Arabidopsis thaliana: one gene and its partners. The protein of the gene in region 1 binds, or shares a complex with, the protein of each later gene. Each region holds a gene or a part of one and is shown in the gene's direction. Other genes may lie near its edges. The genes, in order: ERL1, EPF2, EPF1 and TMM.

Evidence for each region.
Region 2: the proteins of ERL1 (region 1) and EPF2 are in contact, whole or in part, in a crystal structure (PDB 5XKJ), measured with the Arabidopsis thaliana proteins. Residues at the interface, in NP_201029.1 of Arabidopsis thaliana: Trp218 (codon at 3,779), Gly236 (codon at 3,945), Asn237 (codon at 3,948), Thr239 (codon at 3,954), Gln242 (codon at 3,963), Ile243 (codon at 3,966), Gly260 (codon at 4,094), Phe261 (codon at 4,097), Leu262 (codon at 4,100), Gln263 (codon at 4,103), Ala265 (codon at 4,109), Thr266 (codon at 4,112), Leu284 (codon at 4,251), Met285 (codon at 4,254), Gln286 (codon at 4,257), Ala287 (codon at 4,260), Leu288 (codon at 4,263), Ala289 (codon at 4,266), Val290 (codon at 4,269), Phe311 (codon at 4,419); in NP_564442.1 of Arabidopsis thaliana: Thr69 (codon at 2,164), Gly70 (codon at 2,167), Ser71 (codon at 2,170), Ser72 (codon at 2,173), Leu73 (codon at 2,176), Phe93 (codon at 2,236), Ser102 (codon at 2,263), Val103 (codon at 2,266), Ile104 (codon at 2,269), Tyr105 (codon at 2,272), His115 (codon at 2,302), Ser118 (codon at 2,311), Arg119 (codon at 2,314), Ala120 (codon at 2,317).
Region 3: the proteins of ERL1 (region 1) and EPF1 are in contact, whole or in part, in a crystal structure (PDB 5XJO), measured with the Arabidopsis thaliana proteins. Residues at the interface, in NP_201029.1 of Arabidopsis thaliana: Trp218 (codon at 3,779), Gln242 (codon at 3,963), Ile243 (codon at 3,966), Tyr257 (codon at 4,085), Gly260 (codon at 4,094), Phe261 (codon at 4,097), Leu262 (codon at 4,100), Gln263 (codon at 4,103), Ala265 (codon at 4,109), Thr266 (codon at 4,112), Val281 (codon at 4,242), Leu284 (codon at 4,251), Met285 (codon at 4,254), Gln286 (codon at 4,257), Ala287 (codon at 4,260), Leu288 (codon at 4,263), Ala289 (codon at 4,266), Val290 (codon at 4,269), Phe311 (codon at 4,419); in NP_179684.1 of Arabidopsis thaliana: Ala53 (codon at 2,044), Gly54 (codon at 2,047), Ser55 (codon at 2,050), Arg56 (codon at 2,053), Leu57 (codon at 2,056), Met74 (codon at 2,107), Phe77 (codon at 2,116), Pro89 (codon at 2,152), Met90 (codon at 2,155), Ala91 (codon at 2,158), Tyr92 (codon at 2,161), Lys93 (codon at 2,164).
Region 4: the proteins of ERL1 (region 1) and TMM are in contact, whole or in part, in a crystal structure (PDB 5XKJ), measured with the Arabidopsis thaliana proteins. Residues at the interface, in NP_201029.1 of Arabidopsis thaliana: Glu86 (codon at 2,905), Pro89 (codon at 2,914), Gln110 (codon at 3,073), Ile111 (codon at 3,076), Pro112 (codon at 3,079), Asp113 (codon at 3,082), Glu114 (codon at 3,085), Tyr132 (codon at 3,219), Asp134 (codon at 3,225), Pro136 (codon at 3,231), Phe137 (codon at 3,234), Ser138 (codon at 3,237), Lys141 (codon at 3,246), Glu146 (codon at 3,261), Thr156 (codon at 3,407), Gly157 (codon at 3,410), Pro158 (codon at 3,413), Pro160 (codon at 3,419), Ala161 (codon at 3,422), Thr162 (codon at 3,425), Thr164 (codon at 3,431), Gln165 (codon at 3,434), Pro167 (codon at 3,440), Asn168 (codon at 3,443), Lys170 (codon at 3,449), Ser184 (codon at 3,586), Arg185 (codon at 3,589), Leu186 (codon at 3,592), Trp189 (codon at 3,601), Glu191 (codon at 3,607); in NP_178125.1 of Arabidopsis thaliana: Leu108 (codon at 2,155), Ser109 (codon at 2,158), Asp111 (codon at 2,164), Thr112 (codon at 2,167), Tyr140 (codon at 2,251), Arg141 (codon at 2,254), Val165 (codon at 2,326), Arg167 (codon at 2,332), Glu168 (codon at 2,335), Val187 (codon at 2,392), Asp189 (codon at 2,398), His191 (codon at 2,404), Arg210 (codon at 2,461), Ser211 (codon at 2,464), Ser232 (codon at 2,527), Val233 (codon at 2,530), Ile256 (codon at 2,599), Lys257 (codon at 2,602), Asp259 (codon at 2,608), Gln278 (codon at 2,665), Val280 (codon at 2,671), Leu281 (codon at 2,674), Asp283 (codon at 2,680), Gln304 (codon at 2,743), Ala305 (codon at 2,746), Met307 (codon at 2,752), Lys309 (codon at 2,758), Met330 (codon at 2,821), Ile331 (codon at 2,824), Val333 (codon at 2,830).

What each region holds. Positions count from the first base shown.
Region 1 is NC_003076.8:24,994,458-25,002,137, forward strand, and holds the start of ERL1 (ERECTA-like 1), read left to right. Parts: upstream 1-1,678; 5' UTR 1,679-1,975; coding exon 1,976-2,063; intron 2,064-2,631; coding exon 2,632-2,770; intron 2,771-2,876; coding exon 2,877-2,948; intron 2,949-3,044; coding exon 3,045-3,116; intron 3,117-3,196; coding exon 3,197-3,268; intron 3,269-3,384; coding exon 3,385-3,456; intron 3,457-3,551; coding exon 3,552-3,623; intron 3,624-3,714; coding exon 3,715-3,786; intron 3,787-3,898; coding exon 3,899-3,970; intron 3,971-4,047; coding exon 4,048-4,116; intron 4,117-4,201; coding exon 4,202-4,273; intron 4,274-4,360; coding exon 4,361-4,432; intron 4,433-4,524; coding exon 4,525-4,596; intron 4,597-4,685; coding exon 4,686-4,757; intron 4,758-4,853; coding exon 4,854-4,925; intron 4,926-5,010; coding exon 5,011-5,082; intron 5,083-5,161; coding exon 5,162-5,233; intron 5,234-5,319; coding exon 5,320-5,391; intron 5,392-5,475; coding exon 5,476-5,547; intron 5,548-5,621; and 16 more. UniProt on the Arabidopsis thaliana protein: Receptor kinase that regulates inflorescence architecture and organ shape as well as stomatal patterning, including density and clustering, together with ER and ERL2. Redundantly involved with ER in procambial development regulation.
Region 2 is NC_003070.9:12,471,310-12,474,507, forward strand, and holds EPF2 (Putative membrane lipoprotein), read left to right. Parts: upstream 1-1,558; 5' UTR 1,559-1,680; coding exon 1,681-1,774; intron 1,775-1,862; coding exon 1,863-1,927; intron 1,928-2,118; coding exon 2,119-2,322; 3' UTR 2,323-2,665; downstream 2,666-3,198. UniProt on the Arabidopsis thaliana protein: Controls stomatal patterning. Regulates the number of cells that enter, and remain in, the stomatal lineage by inhibiting protodermal cells from adopting the meristemoid mother cell (MMC) fate in a non-cell-autonomous manner.
Region 3 is NC_003071.7:8,982,317-8,985,380, reverse strand, and holds EPF1 (epidermal patterning factor 1), read left to right. Parts: upstream 1-1,566; 5' UTR 1,567-1,801; coding exon 1,802-1,889; intron 1,890-1,975; coding exon 1,976-2,202; 3' UTR 2,203-2,518; downstream 2,519-3,064. Other genes in the region: AT2G20870 (cell wall protein precursor), read left to right, coding at 2,720-3,064. UniProt on the Arabidopsis thaliana protein: Controls stomatal patterning. Regulates asymmetric cell division during guard cell differentiation. Mediates stomatal development inhibition. Not cleaved by the protease CRSP (AC Q9LNU1).
Region 4 is NC_003070.9:30,127,287-30,131,396, reverse strand, and holds TMM (Leucine-rich repeat (LRR) family protein), read left to right. Parts: upstream 1-1,747; 5' UTR 1,748-1,833; coding exon 1,834-3,324; 3' UTR 3,325-3,578; downstream 3,579-4,110. Other genes in the region: CBSX4 (Cystathionine beta-synthase (CBS) family protein), read right to left, coding at 1-68, 145-388, 702-970, 1,066-1,179; SUS2 (Pre-mRNA-processing-splicing factor), read right to left, coding at 3,823-4,014, 4,102-4,110. UniProt on the Arabidopsis thaliana protein: Promotes cell fate progression in stomatal development. In leaves, needed to correctly orient spacing divisions, to limit the number of asymmetric divisions in neighbor cells, and to promote the asymmetric (amplifying) divisions of meristemoids.

The sequences.
Region 1 (7,680 bases):
TAGACCACAAAGGCTTGGGCAATTTACCATTTTTGTAAAAGTAGAAAACAAAATGCCTAAAATGTTCATACTTCATTACATCAACAAGGTTATGCCCACGATATAGAGGCATGTAACATTTATATATATAGTGGAAGAAGCCTACGAGCTTTATTAATAAGTATAAACTCTGATTATTAGGTAAATAAATTACTTAAAACGATTACTCAACTGACAAAACCGTAGTTGAATAATAAGGTTACTATGAATACCGATTGAATATTGCAAAGCCGGAATTGAAAAATATATAACAGATCAAATGTTCAAGTGTGGTCATAATTCTCACATAGGTCATATAGCTGAACCCATGCATCTATTTACTAGTCTATAGAAAGTACTAGAGACGCATACAGCTGAACCTACTCTATTCTTTTATTAATTTTGGTTCTCGTGGATACAAAATTCCTCCAACATTTATTAGAACGAATAAAACCAATATGATGATGATTAGTTATTGGTAAACATATAAACGTTGAGTAAACTTCAAAATAGATTGAAGTACTATTAAGACTTGCATTTTTTCCCCTTGGGTTATATTCTTGAATCGTTTCGAAGTATTTTAACTTTCAAGAATAGAAGGTTCCTCAACTATAAACAATTACATTAATCAAAACCATTTCTATGTAAACAACATAATTTTTGTATATTTTAGTCTTCCCCAAAAGTTTGACCGATAGGGCGGTTTAGACCGTATAGTACGACTGTACAACAAAAAGGACTCTGGAGACCTAAAGATCCAAAACTATGCAAAATAAAGATACGGTCGGACCAATTTAATCTAACAAAACCAAATCCTTATACTAAACTATTTACCGATACATTTCCATATAACACAGTACACACAATTAAATCAAACATTATTGGAAGAACAAGATAGAATATTGGCTTAATCTCGAACGATTAGAGTTATCCTAGAGCCTCGGAGCTTTTGTCACATATAATATAAACTATGGTATATATAAACATGACTCTCATTTGTATTTATCGCAAGGTACAATTCCACCAATTTTTTTCGTCCCACTCATACAGCTTTAATTGTGAAATCAATCCATAAAAAACCAACATGTGACATGGTCTCTATAACTATAACTATAAGATAGTAAAAAATTCACATCAACATAAAAGAAAACCAATCATATTGGCTAAAAAAAACTAACGGTCGAAAAACGTATAACCACAAAACCAAACCGGTCCAACCGGTGTCCCCAATCACTATCAAAGCATTAACTAACTTTCACAAGGAAAAGCATAGTTCAGTTTCTCTACATCGCTTCCCATCCTCTTAACCCTGTTTACTCGAATCATCCACCGTTGGATCAAACACGCGCTACAAATCTAGCGCGTGACCGAGGTTTTTACACAGTGGAATATTACCATGCATTGGAAAGCGGCGTCTACAACAAACGGCGGGTCATGTCACCGTCAAAATCAACCTTTCTTAATTCCTAACGCCGTTACTTATCTCCGTTTACTAAAAATGTTAATGCGTGTGAGAGTGAAGATCATATACTAATTAGAAGTGGCTAATGTTTTAACGTGACATTATTATCATAGTTAATGGTTCGATCAGAGTTTTAAGTAGTAAATGATATAAGTGTGTGTATATAATTGCATACATATATACTCTCACACTCTGACAGATTTGTCGTGGTCTTAGTATTCTCTTTCATGGCTAGTTATATAGGGCTCTAGTACATTATCTCTCTCTCCCCATTTCTCTGTCTCTCTCTTCTTTAACATCTCTGGCTCTGCATTTCTTGCAGTTCACGCTAATCACCTGTTTTGGTACCCTTTTCTCTCTGCAACAATGGCAGAACAAGCCTGAAGTTTCGTTCTTTTGTGTTTTGGTTTCCTCTGCTTTGTTGTTATTGAATCAAAACTTCAACGAGCTTCTTGGCTTATTACCCCAAAAGGAAAGAAGAATAAGAAGAAAAAAATGAAGGAGAAGATGCAGCGAATGGTTTTATCTTTAGCAATGGTGGGTTTTATGGTTTTTGGTGTTGCTTCGGCTATGAACAACGAAGGTTTGTTTCTTCTAACTCTTTTGTTTTTGTCTTTTTTCTTGTGATCTCTGTTTAAAATTTTGATTATGTGCTTCAAAAATTAGGGTTTAGTTAGGTATATCTCCTTAAACCCATTCTCTGATTTTTTCTGAAAGTTTGAATCTAAAATCGTCTGTGTTAGAAGTTATCATGACATATAATCTTTGGTTTATGTCAAACATTTGGTTTCCCCATAAAAAGAGAGTTAAAGTTGAAAGCTTTTTCATACCCAATACTTAGCTCTGGCTTGTTCTTCATCAAATGCATATAAAGATGCAATCTTTTCTCCATTTCCCAAGAAATTTGATCATGATTAGTACACAGAGAATGCCTGTTCCTGTACCATGGAAAGTTTGTGTTTTTTTCAAGCTGTTTCCCGAGAAAAAAACGAAGCTTAATCCCTAGTGTCCTGGAGAGAAAGGACATGAAATTTACAAAAATTCCTTAGTTTTGGTTTATGTATATTTAACTATGTGACTGATGTTCCGCGTTTCAAATGATTTATTACTAATCCTAGTTGAGTCTGTTTATGAATTTTGAAAACCCACAGGGAAAGCTCTGATGGCGATAAAAGGCTCTTTCAGCAACTTAGTGAATATGCTTTTGGATTGGGACGATGTTCACAACAGTGACTTGTGTTCTTGGCGAGGTGTTTTCTGCGACAACGTTAGCTACTCCGTTGTCTCTCTGTAAGAATCTTATTTGAGTTCAATAATAATTCTTGTGTTGTTGAAAAATGTCTCTCTTTTGTGGTCTTGTAATATTCTGCTTTTTTTCTATTTTTACTTTGTGAAGGAATTTGTCCAGTCTGAATCTTGGAGGGGAGATATCTCCAGCTATTGGAGACCTACGGAATTTGCAATCAATGTAATGGTTTTTTTTCCCTTTCTTTCTCTGTTGATTTGCATGTTTGAACTTTGAAATGTTGTAGCTTTTGTTCATAAAGGCTTTTTCCAATTGCAGAGACTTGCAAGGTAATAAACTAGCAGGTCAAATTCCAGATGAGATTGGAAACTGTGCTTCTCTTGTTTATCTGTAAGTCTTATTAAACTTGTTTTTTTGAGTTTTCAATTTTCATGTCTTTAGTTTTGACGTCCATATCCTCTGTTGTACAGGGATTTGTCCGAGAATCTGTTATATGGAGACATACCTTTCTCAATCTCTAAACTCAAGCAGCTTGAAACTCTGTATGTGTTATACTTCAACATTTTGTTTTTCCGATTCAAAGTTCAAATTTTGTCTACTTGTTCTTTTTTTTTTTCGAGTGGATTTTTGTGAACCTTTGAACTTGTGGATGTATCAGGAATCTGAAGAACAATCAGCTCACAGGTCCTGTACCAGCAACCTTAACCCAGATTCCAAACCTTAAGAGACTGTGAGTTCTTTAGTTACATCATTTACTCATGAATCAAAATTTGGGAATAGATTTTGAACTTACTCATTTTCTTTTTTCCAATCATGATGTTGCAGTGATCTTGCTGGCAATCATCTAACGGGTGAGATATCGAGATTGCTTTACTGGAATGAAGTTTTGCAGTATCTGTAAGTTCGTCAGAGTCATTTTCTCTGATCTCAATATAGTCTACACCATAGAAGAAGTTAATTTTCTCCTTCTAATACTTTCTTTCTGCAGTGGATTACGAGGGAATATGTTGACTGGAACGTTATCTTCTGATATGTGTCAGCTAACCGGTTTGTGGTACTTGTAAGTGGATCCAACGCTCTGCCATCTTTTGAGTCTTGTATAGATCCTGGTCCTTCTTTGATTCATTCAAGTCTTGAGTTATATTTTTTAACTTGTGTTTTGTTGTTGGAAGTGATGTGAGAGGAAATAATCTAACTGGAACCATCCCGGAGAGCATCGGAAATTGCACAAGCTTTCAAATCCTGTATGTGCCATCTTAAATTAAACATTAGACTTCCACTATAGGAGTGAATTTTGGACTCATACCTTTTGATATTACAGGGACATATCTTATAATCAGATAACAGGAGAGATTCCTTACAATATCGGCTTCCTCCAAGTTGCTACTCTGTGAGTATTGAGCCTCTTTTACCTTAGTTTCATCAGTAAATTGTTAACATGCGGTTATTGAATTGTGTATTATTACTTTTTGAAGGTCACTTCAAGGAAACAGATTGACGGGTAGAATTCCAGAAGTTATTGGTCTAATGCAGGCTCTTGCTGTTTTGTAAGTTCAATTCATATGGAAAAGTAACGACAAAGTACATTCTTGAATTTGGCTCGTCTGACTTTGTGAATCCTATTCAATTCACAGGGATTTGAGTGACAATGAGCTTGTTGGTCCTATCCCACCGATACTTGGCAATCTCTCATTTACCGGAAAGTTGTGAGTCTTTTTTGTATAACTGTAGTATCTCATATGTTCAGCTAATCAGCTCTTGGCATATGCATTGATACCTTTTTTTTTTGTTGAAATAGGTATCTCCATGGCAATATGCTCACTGGTCCAATCCCCTCTGAGCTTGGGAATATGTCACGTCTCAGCTATTTGTAAGCTTGTTTTAAACTTCAAATCTGTTTACATAGCTTTCGCATTCCATATACTTATCTATTTTGCTTTTCTTTTACCGATTTTGAAGGCAGCTAAACGACAATAAACTAGTGGGAACTATTCCACCTGAGCTTGGAAAGCTGGAGCAATTGTTTGAACTGTGAGTTTCTTTTCCTTGCTCTAAAGTTTTTCACTTTAGCTGTTGAAGCATTACATTTGATCCTTGTTTTTACTGATCCATTTTTTGACATGAAAGGAATCTTGCCAACAACCGTTTAGTAGGGCCCATACCATCCAACATTAGTTCATGTGCAGCCTTGAATCAATTGTAAGCTATAAGATAGTTCATTTTGAATTCATGCTTTACTCTTCTTATTCACAAACCTAAATTCTGCTGCTCTACTTGAATTCAGCAATGTTCATGGGAACCTCTTGAGTGGATCTATTCCACTGGCGTTTCGCAATCTCGGGAGCTTGACTTATCTGTGAGTTTCATTCAATACAATGCTGTAACATTGCTTCCCTCTAAACATTATAGTGACTGTTGAATCCTTTTGGATGCAGGAATCTTTCGTCGAACAATTTCAAGGGAAAAATACCAGTTGAGCTTGGACATATAATCAATCTTGACAAACTGTATGTCTTCTCAACTTTGTTACATCGTTTGGTTTTATGTTTCAGTTTGAATTTGCTGCAAACTCATCATATGTTTTTGTTTCCAGAGATCTGTCTGGCAATAACTTCTCAGGGTCTATACCATTAACGCTTGGCGATCTTGAACACCTTCTCATATTGTAAGTCTTTTACACTTAAAGTTGTAAATTTGTAAATGTTTTTCTTGTGTTTGTTAACTTTTAATCTTTTGCTTCATTAAACAGAAATCTTAGCAGAAACCATCTTAGTGGACAATTACCTGCAGAGTTTGGGAACCTTCGAAGCATTCAGATGATGTAAAGCTTATAGTTGCTTCTTTTGGTTATATCAAAATCATATTTTTTTTCTGACTTATCTGTTTTACTTGTAGTGATGTATCATTCAATCTGCTCTCCGGAGTTATTCCAACTGAACTTGGCCAATTGCAGAATTTAAACTCTTTGTAAGTTAATAATATGATCTTATCATTTGTATTATATACAAAATAGATGTATGGTTTGATCTTTATGTTTATGTACAGAATATTGAACAACAACAAGCTTCATGGGAAAATTCCAGATCAGCTTACGAACTGCTTCACTCTTGTCAATCTGTAAGTTCTTCTGCAAGAGATACTTGCTTATGAGCAATATTAGCCCTTTGGAAGATTTGTGAATCCAACATTTTCTTCTTCTTTCTTCGAAAACGTTTTAGGAATGTCTCCTTCAACAATCTCTCCGGGATAGTCCCACCAATGAAAAACTTCTCACGTTTTGCTCCAGCCAGGTATGAAGCTTCTCTCAGTAGTCTGTCATTATGATCAATACGCATAAGCTTTCATTGTAAAACTAAATTCATAACCTCTGTATAGCTTTGTTGGAAATCCATATCTTTGTGGAAACTGGGTTGGATCTATTTGTGGTCCTTTACCGAAATCTCGAGGTATCTACTAGATTTATCCATTAAGCATTTTCTTCAATAGATGTTTTTTCTTGTTTATTTGAGCTTGCTTTTCTTGTTCTTTTCAGTATTCTCCAGAGGTGCTTTGATCTGCATTGTTCTTGGCGTCATCACTCTCCTATGTATGATTTTCCTTGCAGTTTACAAATCAATGCAGCAGAAGAAGATTCTACAAGGCTCCTCAAAACAAGCTGAAGGTAATGATGATGCCTTCATACTTCTTCATAACTCATATTCTGTTCTTATATGACAATATCAATCTTTACCGATTCTCAGGGTTAACCAAGCTAGTGATTCTCCACATGGACATGGCAATTCATACATTTGATGATATCATGAGAGTGACTGAGAATCTTAACGAAAAGTTTATAATTGGATATGGTGCTTCTAGCACGGTATACAAATGTGCATTAAAAAGTTCCCGACCTATTGCCATTAAGCGACTCTACAATCAGTATCCGCATAACTTGCGGGAATTTGAGACAGAACTTGAGACCATTGGGAGCATTAGGCACAGAAACATAGTCAGCTTGCATGGATATGCCTTGTCTCCTACTGGCAACCTTCTTTTCTATGACTACATGGAAAATGGATCACTTTGGGACCTTCTTCATGGTAAGTTCTTCTAACTTTTTTTGGTTCAATTTGTGAAAGATTGATTTGCAGATAAACGGTAAAAATGTTTTGATTTTTATTTTCTTGAAAAGGGTCATTGAAGAAAGTGAAGCTTGATTGGGAGACAAGGTTGAAGATAGCGGTTGGAGCTGCACAAGGACTAGCCTATCTTCACCACGATTGTACTCCTCGAATCATTCACCGTGACATCAAGTCATCGAACATACTTCTTGATGAGAATTTCGAAGCACATTTATCTGATTTCGGGATTGCTAAGAGCATACCAGCTAGCAAAACCCATGCCTCGACTTATGTTTTGGGAACAATTGGTTATATAGACCCAGAGTATGCTCGTACTTCACGAATCAATGAGAAATCCGATATATACAGCTTCGGTATTGTTCTTCTTGAGCTTCTCACTGGGAAGAAAGCAGTGGATAACGAAGCTAACTTGCATCAACTGGTATATGAATCAAGAATCACTATAGATTATGATCTTTGAACCTTAAAAGAGTTAACGTTTTTTTTTTTTATGTTGCAGATATTGTCAAAGGCTGATGATAATACTGTGATGGAAGCAGTTGATCCAGAGGTTACTGTGACTTGTATGGACTTGGGACATATCAGGAAGACATTTCAGCTGGCTCTCTTATGCACAAAGCGAAACCCTTTAGAGAGACCCACAATGCTTGAAGTCTCTAGGGTTCTGCTCTCTCTTGTCCCATCTCTGCAAGTAGCAAAGAAGCTACCTTCTCTTGATCACTCAACCAAAAAGCTGCAGCAAGAGAATGAAGTTAGGAATCCTGATGCAGAAGCATCTCAATGGTTTGTTCAGTTCCGTGAAGTCATCTCCAAAAGTAGCATATAAGAGAAAG
Region 2 (3,198 bases), on another chromosome or scaffold:
TGTTTTTTTGTTGTACTTAGATGATCATATTGAGTTATTTAATGAAGACAAAGATGGCAAGGGAGAAATATAAGAAGTTTAAATTTGCATTTAATTGCTTTTAGATTTGATACTTTGTTGAATTGTGTTCAAATTTGTTTTTAGATATATTTCAAAGTATAAGACTTTTGACTTATGTATTGATTAAAATATGAACCAAAAACTATTATGTTCAAATTTGGTTCTGATATGCCCATTGAACATCCCATTTGAACATAAACTTTAATGACATGAACGTTAATAGACATGAGTTTTAGTGGACATGAACTCCATTTATCTAATATCAAAATAGACATTATTAAAAATTGGAATGTGTTAATGGATATGGATAGCCTGCTATAGACTACCATTTTTGTTGGACATATCTTAAATTATCAACGAAGTACTCAAAAAATAAGAAAAAAATTCTGAAATAGTCTTGACCAACATTTCTTTCTTCTTAGACCTTCGAAACACATAAAAATGTTTTCTAGACCAAAACACATATTAATCATCATATTTGTTGGAGCTCAGATTTTATATAAATATCAACCAAGAAGAAAGGACTAGTTTAACCGCTAGGAATCTTTTTGTGACCAGAAAACATTTCTGCCTACGCTAGGAATCATCTATCAATAAAACATGGAATTTCTTCGTTACAAAAAAGAACTGAAAAATATGCTAAGCTCATTATTTGGTGCTTTGGGAAAAGGTCATTAAAACCAAGGGCAAGGTTCACGTTTGTGTGACAGGTTATTTTCAAGATGTCTGAACACTTTTTGGCTGCTTCTGTAAGTTCTCTGCTCTCTCTCCCATTGTGAACCTTATGACTACAATTATTAACTATTCCCTTATAGTAACTCCTTTTTTGGTCCCACGCCATATATTATATACCATATCTTTACGTATAAAACTTCTCTCTATATTCATGATACCACTAACACTTACATATTTAATGCTTCGACTTTTGTAATTATACATTCGTTCATCCTTGTGTACAATATGATCGATGGGCTTCTTGGTCTTTTAGCGGTAGAACTTTGTGTATATTAATATATATATATATGATTTACTGGTCATATTTTTTTATATAAACTATGATGTATTGGTCATAAATCGATGCTCAACTAATTTTTTTTTTAGTTTTATGTTGAACTATGATTTGTAGTGAAATATAGTCTTCTAGTTAAACATTTTCATCCATGGTTTATAATATGATTGATGAGATCTTCATATTATATATCCACTGACTGAACATGAAAACATGCACACAAGTCACAACCATATCTCAGGCTTTATTGCTACGTACATGTGAACAGTTTCTCATATTCAAAAATATTCATAGCCCGCGAACATGTTCATTGGTAACTAAAAGAATAAATCATAATGATTTTTTCTCAGAAAATCGACGAGAATCATGTGACCCTTCAACATGTGTGCCTCTTTTCATCATTTATTATCATAAATCATAAACACATAACCAATTCTTTCTCACCTTTTCCTCAACTATATATACACATATCTCACTTATCCCACCTTTAATACTTCACACACAACACATAACACACGTAGTACTTGCTTCCTATCATTTCTAGAAACTTCTCTTTAAAACCTCTGCCTCAACCAGAAAGTTTCTTCTTGTTAAAAAAAAAGATTATAAACATGACGAAGTTTGTACGCAAGTATATGTTTTGCCTCGTCCTAGTCTTCGCCGCGTGTTCTTTGGTCGTTAACTCCATTCGCACGCCGCCACTAAGTCCGTCACATCAATATCTTTTGGTTATAGTTTATATTTTACTTGGTAATGATTTTCATATATTAACATTTTATACTTTTTAATGTAGAAAACACGGTCAATGGCGGAGAAAAGAAAAACGCCGATATAGAACAAGCTCAAACGCACCACAAGGTAGGTCCTGTCTCCCACGGTGCACTTCTCTCATTTTAATTTATGTGCAAAAATACCATATTTTAATATATAAAAATATTTTTTTAATAATAACAACTGCATTTGATTTTTTCTTTTAATTAATTTTTAATTTTTTCTTTATAAAAGAAGTCATTGTCAATTAATTGTTTTCTTGTTGTAATGTGGTGAAGAAGGAAATAAGCAAAAACGGAGGGGTAGAAATGGAAATGTACCCAACAGGATCAAGCTTACCGGATTGTTCATACGCGTGTGGCGCATGTTCGCCGTGTAAACGTGTGATGATTAGTTTCGAATGCTCAGTCGCCGAATCATGTAGCGTCATCTACAGATGCACGTGCAGAGGGAGATACTATCACGTGCCATCTAGAGCTTGAATTGAATCTCCGCCGTTTATTTTTTTTTGACGTCTGTGATTAAAATATCAGTTTTGGCTGGCGGCGAAACTTTTTTTCTATTGTACAATTTGTTGGGATATTAAATTAAATGCTATTGGCCCACTTTGAAGTCTTATAATTAATATTGGGCTTTATTAGGCCTTTTCAAAGAGAGTTTGTATGACACGACCGAATCAGATTCTTGAACCGGTACATCACAAAGTCAAATGCTTCGGTTGGCCAATTATTTATTGTTTCCTTTTAAAAGCCATCTCCATCATACCGGTAACCGGTTAAACCAAAAAAATCATTTATGTAACAATGTGTAAAGTATAAACTTTTTCTTACTATGGATCGTTTTGAAATTTACATCTTCTTACATTAATCTGATTTGCATTAGTTAAAGAAATCATTTTCTTTTGTTCAAAAACTTAGACGTTTTTTTTTTTGGTTTAATTTAAAAAAAAACTTAGAAGTTAGAATAAAGTTTTGTTCTTCATTTTTTTGGTACACGAATAAAGATTTTTTTAGTTGTTTTTTTTTGGTAAAACTTTTTTTTTTGTTTTGTTTTTTATTAGTTGTTTATTTTCTCGTAATTTCTAATTTATGTTATGAGCATACAATATTCTATAGATTTTAAGTGTTTTTAGGGGAAAAAAACATTTGTAATAAATTTTACTTTTGTGTTTAAACTTTAAGCTATTTCCGTCTCGCTTTTTAAAGTGAAGACTAGTCTATGTTATTTGACTATGAAAAATGAAATTAAAAATGATTTTAAATCAGAAAATAAAACAATGACTTTGGCAAATAAAAATTTATTTATATTAATTTTGTCTTCCCATTTTGAAAAAGAAAGCTTGAAAATATCCCAAGAAG
Region 3 (3,064 bases), on another chromosome or scaffold:
AACCTTCTAATAAGAAGTGTAAAGGCAGGCGTAAAAAAAGATTCGACCTTAAAAAGTAATTAATTTCAAGTCACATGAATAATAATTAAAATGATGTAATAACAAAATAACGAAAACATCTAAATAATGCTAAATAATTATAAAACGCTAAAAATACATCGTTTTTAACTATATTTTTAATAAATGTATTCAGAAATATTAAATTATTTTTCCAATACGATAAAATTAGATAAATGTTATGGATTTTCTTATCATTCACAACAAGGAAAAACTCTTGGATGGTAAACTGAATGGACTTTCAAGGGTTGAAAAATGGAATGTTTTCTGAAGCAGACCGATTTTATACAAGCCCCTCAATTCGCATTAGTAAAACCGATGTCTCCTTGCATAATATGGATTCCAAATATGTTATAATGTCTATTGACATGAAGAACTTAGAAACCTTGGTACATATTAAGATGACGTGGACGCAAGGAGGTGCCAAGGTGGGAGGCTGAAGTCTTAAACTTTCGGCAGATAAAGATAAACAAACTCCAAAACAAAACAAAACAAAAAGAAAACAAAGACAAGGGAAAAGGTTCGTGTTAGAAGAAAAAGTCAACAGCTTAAAGCTTAAAAAGTCGGTGAATGAATGGGTCAGCTCTCTCCACTTTCATTATCTCTCTATGCTCTATCTCTCCAATCATAAAACTTGCTATTCCAATTAAACTTATACACTATCCATTAGTATTTTATGTAGTATTCTTATTAAGATATTTTAACGTGGTCCATCATTCTACTTAATAAGTTTTTCTCTTCTTTTAAATTTATTGGCAGCAGTTTGAGAAAACGATTAGATTGATTAAGAATGCAACGAATGTCAAATCCCAAACCATTATCTTATACCAGTTATATTATGAGTGCTTCATATTTATATATTAACTTGCCAAAGTTTTGAAGATTATACTATGAAGGCTACTCAAAGGGACATTGATTCCTAGAAGATGATTTTATGATGTTAAGCCGTTGACTTTGGTAACTAAATCATTTGACCTTTGATGTTTCTGCCCCCTTTAGCAAATAGAAACTTAATAAGAAAATTTTCATTGAAATTTAGCATCCCAAAGAAAGGTGTAGAAAAGTTATAGTGTAATGTGATTGGTGAGGTGCATGTTCGACACTCTTCAAATGTTGATTGAAACTTTTTTTTGTGTGCAAAGTTGATTGAAACTTTAATATTTTTTCATTAATCGCTTAAAGTGTAGTAGTGTCAAAATATTGAGATGTCAAGTATAGAACATACTATCATTTTCAAAACAATTGTGCAATTTCAGTATAATCAGTATTTAAATCATTAATAACCTCATGTGTAATTAACTCTATTATATTATCGATTTTAAAACACAAGCCCCAAGACAATGTCCCTCATTCTATCTCATCAAATGCTCAACTTTTTTTTTTTAGTAAGAACATTAATTGGGTGCATTAATGAAGGTCACAGAAAAGAAGGGTTATAGAGGGTAAATTAAAGGTGATTGCACACAAAAGTATGTCTTTCAGTTTTTCACAGAGGAAGCTCATGACACTCACCAAAGCAGCACGAATGAAGTTCAAGTTCTTAATTAGGCTTCACATACTCTACATCATCTCCTCAAAATTTATATCATTTCATATGTTCGATCTTGTTTTCATGTGACTCTCTCCTCTTCTCTACCGTGAGTCTCTTCAATTTCCTAACCCTTTGTTAACGATCATATATACCTTGTTTCTCGCCGTACTATTTCATCCCAAATTTTACTTTTACCACTTGCGATAATATATCATGAAGTCTCTTCTTCTCCTTGCCTTTTTCCTCTCTTTCTTCTTTGGCTCTCTCTTGGCTAGGCATTTACCAACATCCTCCCATCCAAGTATGTATCTATGCACATCTTTCTTACTCCAGCTCTTTCACTATCTTCAAGATCTCTAACTTGTTCATGTCTGCGTGCATGTGCAGGTCATCATCATGTAGGAATGACCGGGGCATTGAAGCGTCAGAGGAGGAGGCCGGACACGGTGCAGGTGGCTGGGTCTAGGTTGCCAGATTGCTCACACGCGTGTGGCTCGTGTTCTCCATGCCGTCTTGTGATGGTTAGCTTTGTGTGTGCATCCGTCGAAGAGGCTGAGACTTGTCCAATGGCTTATAAATGCATGTGCAACAATAAGTCCTACCCTGTCCCTTGATCAGCCTCTTCTACACTTATTCTATGCATTCAACCGTTTTGTTTTCCTTTTGCTTCTCCGGGACATGACCATGTGTACGTATACAATGCATCTTTAATTAGTTTCTTTCTTATTATTAATAGGAATCTTAAACACAGTTTGATCCGAGATTAATTAATCAGAAAATATATGGATATCAAAAAATGAAAGCCACTCACCTATTTGGGCTCTCTCGCTGTATTATGGTCCATGAGGCCGTATTTAAGACAGCAACAACAAAAGTTGTAGACAGAATTATATTTAAAAGGCAACAACAAAAGTACGTATACGTTGTTACCACCAAACTTTGGAGGCTCGCTAATAATAACCACACTACCCATTTGTTACACACCCTTTATTTTCAACCATATCATCTCACCTTCGTTAAATGTTCCCACAATTAGCTCAGTATTTTACTATATACATACACACACATTCCCTCCACAGGATCAAACAAACACACGAGCTTTCTCCTCTACAACAAAATAAAATAAAATTAATGGCTTCTTCACTTATCACCTCCGCAGTCATTGTCGTGGTTTTAAGCCTAGTGCTTGGATCTGTAGAGCAAGTGAGTGGACTACGTCACGTTCCCAAGTCCCCTAAGACCACTGATGTCAAACACCCTGACTTTCTTGTAACCATTGAGCCCAAACCAACTATTCTCATTCCCGGTGTTGGAAGGTTCTTGCTTCCTCCCAAATGCAAGAAGCCGTTCTACCCTTACAATCCTGTCACCGGAGCTCCACTTACTGGTGGGGGAATCCCATCATATAATGGTGGACAAGGGGCCGGACCTCACACCCAACTCCCTGGTGGCGATGATACGCTTGTCCCAAACCCC
Region 4 (4,110 bases), on another chromosome or scaffold:
GCTTCGACGATAGGAACCGCATTGAGCATTGCTATACTCATGCATTGTATTGCATCTTTCACTCTAGCCTGGTATTAAACATTACAAGCGTTTAACTTAGGATTTAATGAATAAAGATGAAAATTCTTGACTTGTGAAATTTACCTGGCTAGTGAGGGCTAAAACAGTGTTGTGAATAGCGGAGAGATCAGTGACGGTGTGGGAGAGGATACCATGCAATTGAGAGGATTGGTCGAAGAAGAAAGAGATGAGATCCATCTGACTCAGCATTGCGTAAGCAGAAGCTGACTCTACCAACTCAGGTCCTGTTATATTTTCTGTATTACTGTCCAATGGAACCAATACCCTGTGGATTCCTTTACTCAACATCTCCATACAATCCATGATGCTGCTTTCATCAATGACCATCTTTGATTAGTACTCTATCCGTTCATATATAATGTTAAGATTTTTGACAAGAGAAAAATGTTTTGCATTTTTCTATGAAAAATTTGCATTATAATTTCTAATTTATCATTTAGTTTGAATTATAAAAAATATGAAACTATAAACAATTAATGACTGAAATATGGGTATATATATTAGGTGTTGCAAAAGAATTCTTACTATGTGAGAAAAGTGTACAACATCTAACATTATAAAAGGGAAGGATTAATTATACTGAAAGCAATTTAATTTTACAAATCTTCTATACTATTAACCTGGTATTAGGATTGAGAGACCAGAGGCTAAGACCCTCAGGGCAATGACCAATGATAGAAGAGACAGGGGCAGCCATTTTCTTATCAAGCCCACTCTCGCCGTCATCGCCGGCGATGTGAGCCACAACGTCGAGCATGGTCACCATTCCTATGTACTGTTTTCTTGCACTTCCGCTCTGTTTGTCCAACTCTACTATCATTGATCCCCCGGCTCCCAGCCATTGGCCTGGTTTGGCAGCCACCGGTACAGCTCTAACTCGGTTTGCCACCGGTTTGATACCAAGAATAGTCTTGTTAGTAATTCTTGATACTTAAAACGGTTGACTCCAACCAAAAAAATAACAATTATTTAGCCGTGGTTTACCATAGTGTTCAAGGCGTCCCCTAGAGTGGCATTATCAGGAACTTCGACCAGCCGCCGCTTGTCGATCATCAGATCTTTGACCTTGAACTGCATCAGACGGCTGTACGACTGCATGAAGATTTGTATTTGGGTGATAGTCAAAGTCTCAAAGAAAATGGGACGAGGCTTATGAACTTCTAATCTTTGTTTTGATGCTTTCGTAGTTACTTCATTATTCATATATGTCATGTTACTAGTAAGATGACACGTATTACATGTGTTGCTCCATGGGCATGTGCTTTTCGTATGCACAGACCACGCGTCCGTTTATTCAGATTCTCGTGTTACAACAAAATAATGATTTTAAGGTTCAGAATCAAACATATGAAACTTTTTATCAATTGCTATCTACGGTTTGTTACAAAAACAAATACAGTGCCCAGTTCAAAATACAAATTGAATAATAGCCCAACATATCGTAAATGGGAAAATGGGCTCAGCCCAAATAAAAAAAAAGTAAACGATAAGGAGACGTCGGGTCCCGTTCACGAAGCGGTCGGATCTAGGGCCCAACACAAGACGAATGAAGGGAATATCTCGTGAAAGCAATAAATGCAGAAATCGAGAATCATGAATTTTATTTATTTCGCTCCTCGAGTTATCCCGTGAAAGTCATAAAGACATTGCGAACGTTTTTATGGACCCACCAATTGTTTCTTCAGAATTATACATATACACACTGACAATTTCGAACCTAAACCGCATTCACACAACAACAACAACTAAGAAATGGCACGATATGAATTCTTCCGCCAAATATTCATTGTCTTGTCTATAGTTTCTCCGTTGGTCAGATCTTTCACTGTGATCACCTCCGACTCGACGGCCCCATCTGCTCTGATCGACGGCCCACAAACTGGATTCACGATGACCAATGACGGCGCTCGCACGGAGCCTGACGAGCAAGACGCCGTCTACGACATTATGCGTGCGACCGGCAACGACTGGGCTGCCGCGATTCCAGACGTTTGCCGAGGGAGATGGCACGGGATCGAGTGTATGCCGGACCAGGATAACGTCTACCACGTGGTCTCTCTGTCGTTCGGAGCGCTCTCAGACGACACGGCGTTTCCGACTTGTGATCCACAACGCTCTTACGTCTCTGAGTCCCTCACGAGGCTCAAACACCTCAAAGCCTTGTTCTTCTACCGATGTTTAGGCCGCGCCCCACAGCGCATACCGGCGTTTCTGGGACGCCTCGGCTCGAGTCTGCAAACGCTGGTTCTGAGGGAGAATGGTTTTTTGGGACCTATCCCTGACGAATTGGGCAATCTCACCAATTTGAAAGTTCTTGATTTGCATAAAAATCACCTCAACGGCTCCATTCCCTTGTCGTTCAACCGGTTCTCCGGTTTAAGATCGCTTGATTTGAGTGGTAACCGGTTGACTGGTTCCATTCCCGGTTTTGTTCTTCCGGCGCTGAGCGTTCTGGATTTGAACCAGAATCTTTTAACCGGACCGGTTCCACCCACACTCACAAGCTGTGGATCGTTGATCAAAATCGATCTTAGCCGAAACAGAGTCACTGGTCCTATCCCAGAATCGATTAACCGGCTCAACCAATTAGTGCTTTTGGATTTGAGCTATAACCGGTTATCAGGTCCATTCCCGTCTTCTCTCCAAGGCCTAAACTCTCTTCAAGCTTTAATGCTCAAAGGCAACACAAAATTCTCAACAACGATTCCTGAAAACGCGTTCAAAGGGCTCAAGAACTTGATGATTCTTGTTCTCTCGAATACGAACATCCAGGGCTCGATACCGAAATCATTGACTCGGTTAAACAGTCTTCGGGTCCTTCACCTAGAGGGCAATAATCTGACCGGAGAGATTCCTTTGGAGTTCCGGGACGTGAAGCATCTAAGCGAGCTGAGGCTCAACGATAACAGTCTGACAGGACCAGTACCGTTCGAGAGAGACACAGTGTGGAGGATGAGGAGAAAGCTGAGGCTGTATAACAATGCTGGTTTGTGTGTTAACCGGGACAGTGACTTGGATGATGCATTCGGTTCAAAATCTGGTTCAACTGTAAGATTGTGTGATGCAGAAACGTCGAGACCAGCTCCTTCCGGTACGGTCCAGCACCTATCTAGAGAAGAAGACGGTGCTTTGCCGGACGGAGCTACGGACGTGTCAAGCACTTCCAAGTCTTTGGGGTTCTCCTATCTTTCTGCATTCTTTCTTGTATTCCCTAATTTCATTTTTATGCTAATATCTAGTTAGAGGAGGGATGATAAAACTGCTGTAAATACTTCCCGAGTTTAATAATGTTAGTTAGATGCCTTTTCTGCATTAGTTGGATTGAATATCGCCACCATTTATGGCTACAAAAAAAACTTGTAAGCTCGAACGTGTTCCTTCTGTCTATATACTCTGTTCTTTGATCTCTGTTTTATCTTTCCGGAGATAAGAGACTTGTATTGCTTGTTCTTCCATGTTTTGTACATTTGGCGTTTATTCGAAATGGGAAAAACCTCTTAAAATAGTTTAAATTTGTCGTTTTATTTTCTCTCATCGAAGACGTTAGTTACCAAAATTCCGTTATACACGTACGTATGATTACATCACATTCAAGATTTTGATTATAGTGGCAAACCATCTTTTTAAGATTTAGGGACCTTACTATCTATCTCAGTAAAGCACAAGACAGTACAACATCTTACAAGTCTATACTGCAAAATAAAGCTAAATCACACACACGGTAAGAAAATTGAGTATATCTCAAGTAAATGTGTCCTCGCGATCTCCCTCTGTAATGTCAGCCTCCTCCATGTTGCTGAACTCCAGGAAATGAGTGGGTCGATGCTCCTCGTGATAGAACTCCTTTGGGGATCCGAGTTTGACACTGTATTTCATGCTCAACGTGTGCTTCACTCCAGTGAAGCTATAGTTCCACGGTCCACTCTCAGGAACCTATCATAACATCAGTTACAAAAATCAGATTTCAATGGTTTATATCATCCAAGGACAAAAGCACAATTGCAAACTCTGTTGTCTTACCATGTAAAA